Tribolium castaneum: one gene and its partner. The protein of the gene in region 1 binds, or shares a complex with, the protein of each later gene. Links are inferred from orthologs where the notes say so. Each region holds a gene or a part of one and is shown on either strand. Other genes may lie near its edges.

Region 1 (3,528 bases):
TTCTAATCAAGTGTGTGTGGCATGGTGGCAGCCCTGAGTCTAAAGACGCTTGCTTTTTATGACAAAAAAGTTAACATGGTGTTTGTGTTTAGTTTTAAAAAGTGTTTAAAATCGGGAAAAGTCTAATGAATCAGTGTTTACATAGTGTCATCGTGGAGGTAAGCACCAATTTTGCCATTTTTACAACAAATATTGTGATGAAACTCGGACAGGAATACCAACAACGGTACTTAAATATTCAACATTAAAATAGATTATGGTCTCAAAAAGTTTATAGAAGCGGGGTCCACTTGTTCTATAATAAATTTCAGCATAAATGTGTAATAATTACACGTCAGAACGGCGTAGACGGGATTTAAATTGCGTGCGTGTGGCAACTCTGTGTCTAAGACACTTGATTCTTTTTTAAATAAAACGCAATCATTTTTTTGAAAAATTATATTGATATTAACAATAATTGCATCAAATCCATTGAATACAACTTGTATGCAAATCCATACAATAATCGCCTTAAAATACAACTTCTATATCAGTAGCAACAAAAACCAGCAACTCATTAATTAATAATGACTCGTTACATTAGTATAGAAAAACACAAAACGGTGAAAAAAAAGTAAAAATTATTAACCATATTGCATGATCATTACACTACACCTTTTTAAAAATACCGTATAATTTAACAATATTTATATTTATCGAAGATATTTATTTAAAAATTAAAACCCTATCTAAACCGCTGCAATCTGCTACATAAAGTCGTCGTAATCGTCATAGTCGTTAACATACGCTGACAAAGGCTGCAAAAAAAATTAACCCAAACACTTGTAAAACCACAACTTACATTTCCATCATCCAGTCGTAATTTAGCCTTGCCTTTGCCTTTGTTTTTCTTCGATTTCTCGCCTTTCTCGATTTTTTGTTTCTCTAGGTATAAATTATCTAACGTATTTTTAATTTTCTTAATATCTAATGAGGACACTGCAAGAACATTCATCATTAACGCTGTTTTAAATTAAAACGAGAGACGTACAAGTGGCACACAGATTTCGTAGTAAGTTTTCGGTGAACACCGGATACTCTGTGCTTTTAGCTAGAGGTTGGAGCTTCTTAGAGAGAGCGTCTGTAAAGTCCTGAAACTCTTCTTTAGTAGTTGGCAGCGTGAGTCCGTCTAAACCTGAAATGTTTGTGCTATTGGTGTCGCCCCCAAACGTCGTTTCTAGCGCTATTTTCAAGTCCGATTCCTTCTGCATCCTGAGCTTCTCCTCCGGGGAGATTTCCTCCTCCTGTTGCTCCCTCAGCCTCCGCTCCATTTCTTCCTTCCTCTTTCTCTGAATAAGGAGAAATTAGATTTGTCACAACTATTGCGATACCCACTTCTTTCTCTGCGATTTTGTCAGCGATTGACTGCTTCTTGGGCTTGGGTTTGGCCTCCTCGGCAGGCGCCGCTTCCACCTTCTCCTCCTCCTCATCCTCCCAGCTTTCCTGCAGGAAAATGGTAAATTTTTGGCAGGAATTCACTCATTTTACCTTGACGTTGTCGTCTTCGTCCTCGCCTTCCCATTTGTTGGACGCAACCACAGGTGTAACAGATGGAGGTTCGAAGTTATCGTCGTCTGAAACAGCCCCATGTCAAATTTTCGCTCAAGTAGTGAAAGAATTGACTAAATTTTTACCCCACGATTCCATATTGGCGAAAATACGGCCGAAATTAGCACAAAACGACCTCAACCTCGAAATTCACGTGTGCTGAATAACGTGCAACTGCACCAGAAACCGCCAGATGACACTGTCAAAGTGTCACCAAACCAAACACTATCTTTTCTCGAAGCTTCCACAAGTACACCGATTTGTAGATGTATCAAACAATACGTTTCGGCTTTTTATGTCTCTTGCAAGATGAAAAGTCAGCGAAATCAGGCGAAGTTGAACAATTCACGAGCGAAAATAGCCCTCGAACACCCATCTCACCCTTGACAGAAACCAACTACGCCTGCCAACCGGCACACAATTAAGGCACCAAATTACAACCAAAGTGCAAGTTTTACAGGCTATTTAACGCCAAAGATTTTAAATAATTTGAAATTATCCTTTTGGGACAGTCATAAAAAGTTTTAATTAGGACGATTGGCCATAAATTGCTTTTTCACCGCGTTTTTCATCATTGAACAATAGTTGGCGACACTTGCTGTCATTTGACTTGTCAATGTGCGTCGTTTTACGTTTTTTAAACTCGTTGGAAAATGTTAAAATAGTGCGTGAAAATGGTCGTGGGTAACACTAAGGTGGTCCAGGTGACCAACATAGCCCCCCAGGCCACCAAGGACCAGATGCAGACGCTGTTCGGCTACTTGGGTAAAATCGAAGACATTCGCCTGTACCCCACGATTCGAGACGTCTCCTGTCCTGTCCAGTCCCGGATTTGTTACGTTAAATTCGTGGATTCCAGCACGGTAGGTGTAGCCCAACACATGACAAACACTGTTTTCATCGACCGGGCCCTAATTGTCATCCCTGTGATCAACGGGGACATCCCCGACGAGTACTACGCTCTGGAGATGACCCGTAACGGGACCATTGTCCCCGGGTTTAACGTAAACGAGCCAAAGTTGCCCCCACATGTCTCCAATTCGTTCCAAGGCACAGGCGAGGAACGCGTTGTTGTCACAAATGACCCCCATTTGACTGACAATGGCTGCGCCCCCTATCCCCCTTTGCCGGCCAAATACGACTCGATCAAAGTCGAGGAGACTCGTCGAACGGTCCAAGTGGTCAATATTGACCCCGCCATACCCACAGATGAGATAATCCAGTATTTTTCACAAGCCGGTGAAGTGAAGTATTTGAGAGTGTGTGAGTGCCCCAACGACAACACCACGCACATTTTGATCGAATTCACGGAACAGCCAAGCGTCGTGAACGCCATGAAAATGAACGGTGAAGAGTTCAAAGGCAAGCCGCTGGAAATCATTCACGCCACTCAACCAATCATGAAGCCCCAAGCCAAAAGTAACGAAGCCGCTCAGAAGGAAATTGAAGAAGCAATGTCTCGCTTTAAAGAGGCTCAAAACATGATCAATGCCTCGATTGAGCCAGTTATCGGAATGCTAACTAAAGATAAAAGGAGCTCGCGACGTTCCCGCTCAAGATCTAGAGGGCGTAGACGCCGCTCACGCTCAAGGTCACTCTCGCGTGGTTCACGTTCACGTCGTCGCCGTTCAACGTCACGTTCACGCCGTTCACGATCACGTGACCGGCGTAAACGCTCGAAGTCTCGCTCTCGGAAACGTTCGGTTTCACGTACGAGGCGTTCAAGGTCGCGCGAACGCCGGTCAAGGTCGAAATCGAAGGGTCGCAGTAGGCCAAGGGCCAAATCTAAGACTCGGGATAGGTCGAAAGATAGGAAACGGGATAAGGATCGCAAGTCAAAGGAGAGGGATAGGAAGTCGAAGGAAAGGGATAAGAAAGAGAAAGATAAGAAGGAGAGTAGTATAGAGGGTGGGGAAAAGAAGGTGTCGAGATCGCGCAGTC
Region 2 (4,268 bases), on another chromosome or scaffold:
ATATTTTCCACATAACACAAACGAAACAATGCTCAATGGAAATGACCAAGGCCTTTACAAATGTTAAACTAAAAAAAGGTATTTAAAATCGTCAGAAAAAAATCTTTAGAATTCCTTATGTACAACTTTTCCGTATCTAATTTTGCACAATTCAATACTTACGGCAATGATATCTTTGGTGGTGCTAGCGGCGTAATGGAACACCGAATCAGAGTTGTAATCGAGATGTTCCAAAGACGCATTCGCAGCAACCAAAACTTGCACCGTCTTCAAATTCTTCGTGGTAATAGCAACTTGTAGTGGCGAGATCCCAGTTTCATCATCAGTACTATTCAAATAATTGTTAATCTTAGAGTCTTTAAAAGAATCATAGAGACTAAAATACGCCGCCAAATGGGCCAAGTTCCAAGAGGGGTGTTCCGCAAGAACGTCACAAATCTTTTGCAAACCTTGCACATTATACATCTGAAATAAAATTCCAAATAATCGTCTTTTAACAACTACAGCAAATTACTTCTTTCGAAATCTCAACAAACGTGGGTAACTTATCCTTCAAGACACAAAATTTCACTTCAGCTTCGTCAAGATTTGGCGAGCGGTATAAACTAAAAATTGATTTTTTTAACAGTTGACGTGTTCGGGGGCACAAACCTGTAGGTTTGGTGTAGGCTTTCCGTGTACGGGCGATGGAGCACAATTTCGTAAGTGGCCCCTTTTTTCTTGTCAACTGTATTAGCTGGGAGGTAGAGGACCAATCCATCTTCCCGTAGGTGAATCGCTCGGTCGGAAAAAGCGTCTGATTTGGCGTCAATCACTTTGGTTGGGGCGGGTTCTGAACTGAGGAAGCTACGTAAAACTGCAAAATGAAGAATAATATTTGTACCATCACAAAGCAGGGGATTACCACTTGTAAATCCTTGGGCAAACATTTTATTACTTAATATCTATTCATACGGTTACGAACACTAATCACTCACTGAGATTGACTACCGATCATTGTGTTTTATTTAAGAAATTTGTGATTTCATAGTTCAAGGTTTGTTCGAACGAGCAATTGGGGAATGAGGTTAAATCACCGGCTCAGTAAATTTGCATTTAGATTAACATCATGTTTATTGATCGTTTTATTTTAAAACATTTTTCTCACTTACTCAGCGGAAATACTTTTGAAAATGAGAAAAAAATGGAATTTCTTGCACCACCTCGAGTAGAAACCTGTAATTTGTAATTGTCAAACGTCAACTGGCTTCGAGGTTAAGTGCAAGACCATTTGCTCGCTATAGTGGCGTAGGCATATAATGAGTAAATTCAAAATGTTTTCCGACGATTATGAGCAAGTGAGTGCTTCAAACACCTAAAACTTGAACAATTTATCCTTAAACCTACACTGGGTTCTATAAAACTCTAGTAAAAGCTTTGCAAATTGAACCATGTGTCTCAAGCCTATTTGTAAAAGTGTGGAAATAATACCGACCTACATGTTTAGCATGCACCATTCCCATAATTCGTGGCAGCAAAATTGACAATAAATTGGACACTGATTTTCATTTATTTCAGGGTTATGAATACAACAGCTATGATGAGTATGGGGCTCACACAGGAGACCCCAACTTGGACAACGAGTACAATAAACAGCACCTAAAGATGCCGGAAATAGTCAAAAACTTCCTAATCTATTTCCGCAATTGCGTGAATGAGGGTTTAATCTTTGAGTTGCAAACTTTGTATGAAACTTCGTGGCCAAAACTAACCGAAGATTATTTCGAGAAACGCCCCTGGCCAGAAGAGTCAGAAGTGTCAGCGCTAGTCGACAGTGATCCCGTGAGTAAATCCATGACTATTTTACCTTCCGCCTCGATTTTGTCTTTCACTTGGTCTAGTATTTTACCCCCAGTTTCACTCTCCTGGACATCCTTAATTTTTTCCTTTACGTGATCAATTATTTTACCTTCTGTGCCAATGTCTTGGACGTCCTTGATTTTCTCCCTAACGTGTTCACTTTTGTCTTTGAGTTCTTCAGAGATTTTCTCTTTGAGCTCTTCTTTTTTGCTCAGGAGTTGCCTTTTGTAATGCTCCATTGCGACTGTTGGAAGCAGTAGCAGGGAAAAATGAACATAAATGGGTTTTATTATGTCTTTAGCAAAAGGACACGTCAGAAGCGACCTAATTACAAAGAAATCGCTCAATATCTATGATTCTTTGATGTCTATTGATTGTAAAGTTTTTGCTTAAATATTTATTTACGCAGCATGGGCGAAAAAAATTGGTTTAAAATAATAATAAATACGACTTTTGGTTTTGGACTTTAATAATGCGATGAATAATATTAAAATAAATAAAAATAAATAAATAAAATAAAAATAGATTTAACGACAAAAAATAAACTTTGAATAAGGTGCTTACAAGGTCATATCTTTTCTAATACTATACAGTTTCGACGAAATTCTAAATTTCATTTCATTTAAAGGTAATCGATTTCAAAATAAATAAAACAGCTTTTTCCTACATTTTTTTGAATTAGGAGTATACCAAAGTCAATAATAGACAAATACATTTCCAATAATATTTTTTCTCGAGGCTTGAGACTTCTTGAAATAAATCATAAAATTTGCTTATTAAACGAATTTTTGTTCTATAAATAAGTAAAACGCTTAACCAAGTAAATTGCATAAACAAAAAAAATTATGTTATAATCAACTGAATTAACAGAACTGTCTTCACAATTTACTAAAGAATTAACTTTGAGTATTTACCAACGAAAATTTGAATACAAAGTCTTAATTAGGCCCAAAAAAATCGTGAGAATCTTCAAAGTAGATTATTTGTTGTCCTTAAAAACTCATGATAAGATAAATAAATTGAGATCTCAACGGGAAAACTATTCAACTGTTCGTCTCTCTTTTGAAAAATAAAATATGCTTTTAAAAATATAAGAAAATCAGTGATAAATCGTAATAAATAGACGGTACCTCAAGCATTTTCCTAAAAACAATGTTTAAATTAAACCTAGGTACAGAATTTTGTTGCATAAATAAGTAAAATCGTTAATCAGTCATTTAGTTAACAAAAAAAAAAACATGTAATGAACTAAATTAACCAGGAACTACCTCCACAATCTACTAATCATATTTCTGTCAACTTCTATTTTCAAATGGCCTATCTTTTTCAAAAAGATAGTAATATTTAAAGTGATGAAATTAATTGAAATGAAAATCGTTATAAGTAATTGATTACCGACTGGACGCGTATTCGCCTAATAAAAATTGAGTTTAAAATAAGTATAAAAATCTGTGAATATTTTCGAAAGAACAAAAATATTTACTCATAATAGAAATATTATGAATGATTTTTTTACGGATTCAGGTAATACTGAGGGAGTGTATACCAAATACAGCGTGCTCAAAAACTGGCGCACCAACTCAGTGGTGTGTGGTAGAGAACTGGTTACATATAAAGGTAAAAATAGTAAAAAAAATCTTTGTATTACTGTTATTGATAAATAACTAATTTTAGGTAAATGATATGTGGCAACGTTGTCTAACAGTCATGATTGCAATAGAATTTGAGCAACAATAAAAATAAATTATTTTTGAAACGGTTTCCTAGGAAATAATTCCCAGTGTTGGCACATCTACACATTGTGATTTTTTGGATGAGTTTTAATTTTTTTTAATTAAAAAAACTGCTAAAATCTGATAGTAAATTTTAAAATAATTATTCATTGTATTGTTACGGAACGATAACCTGGTATGAAACATAGAAATATAAAAAAATAATGAAAACTAAAGAAGTTAACACAATAAGTTTGTAGCTCCAGATTTTTTAAAATATAACTTTAGAAATTTATTCAACATTTTTCCCGTAATCTGCACTTGCTTCTCAATAACGTACCACTGAGTTGGTGCGCCAGTTTTTGAGCACCCTGTATATAAAAAGTAGTGAGATTACGGACGGGACACAAAAATTTATCTTACGTAACAATTTTATTATAACATGAAAACTTTAACCAAAATAAAAAAACAACTAACAGTCATCAAAAAAAGGAACACCATTCTTGGGAAATTAAATTACGTACGTTTAACAATTAATATTTTGTCCCAAACCTATATATAATTTTTGAATTGTATTTCAGTTATTTGACACTATTTATAGGAACATAACTTCCAATTTGAAAACGCTTGATTTTGTTCACGTATAGAATTCTCTACCATTATTAATTATTAATTTTTTGGGTTCAATGATTACAAATACGTGAAAATTATTATTTT

What was found.
Region 2: eIF3j (region 1) and eIF3l share a complex: the UniProt entries of both Drosophila melanogaster proteins name them as parts of the eukaryotic translation initiation factor 3 (eIF-3) complex. The link is inferred for Tribolium castaneum from reciprocal best matches to the Drosophila melanogaster genes eIF3j and eIF3l.

The regions. Positions count from the first base shown.
Region 1 is NC_087396.1:21,287,098-21,290,625, forward strand, and holds eIF3j (eukaryotic translation initiation factor 3 subunit J), read right to left. Parts: upstream 2,002-3,528; 5' UTR 1,687-2,001; coding exon 1,674-1,686; intron 1,614-1,673; coding exon 1,528-1,613; intron 1,483-1,527; coding exon 1,375-1,482; intron 1,329-1,374; coding exon 1,031-1,328; intron 979-1,030; coding exon 842-978; intron 798-841; coding exon 747-797; 3' UTR 503-746; downstream 1-502. Other genes in the region: Srp54 (probable splicing factor, arginine/serine-rich 7), read left to right, coding at 2,262-3,528. UniProt on the Drosophila melanogaster protein: Component of the eukaryotic translation initiation factor 3 (eIF-3) complex, which is involved in protein synthesis of a specialized repertoire of mRNAs and, together with other initiation factors, stimulates binding of mRNA and methionyl-tRNAi to the 40S ribosome.
Region 2 is NC_087394.1:32,526,346-32,530,613, reverse strand, and holds the start of eIF3l (eukaryotic translation initiation factor 3 subunit L), read left to right. Parts: upstream 1-1,214; 5' UTR 1,215-1,298; coding exon 1,299-1,337; intron 1,338-1,474; coding exon of another isoform or gene 1,475-1,502; exon of another isoform or gene 1,503-1,557; coding exon 1,558-1,821; intron 1,822-1,948; coding exon of another isoform or gene 1,949-2,078; exon of another isoform or gene 2,079-2,333; intron 2,334-4,268. Other genes in the region: iPLA2-VIA (85/88 kDa calcium-independent phospholipase A2), read right to left, coding at 163-465, 515-605, 652-856, 1,949-2,078. UniProt on the Drosophila melanogaster protein: Component of the eukaryotic translation initiation factor 3 (eIF-3) complex, which is involved in protein synthesis of a specialized repertoire of mRNAs and, together with other initiation factors, stimulates binding of mRNA and methionyl-tRNAi to the 40S ribosome.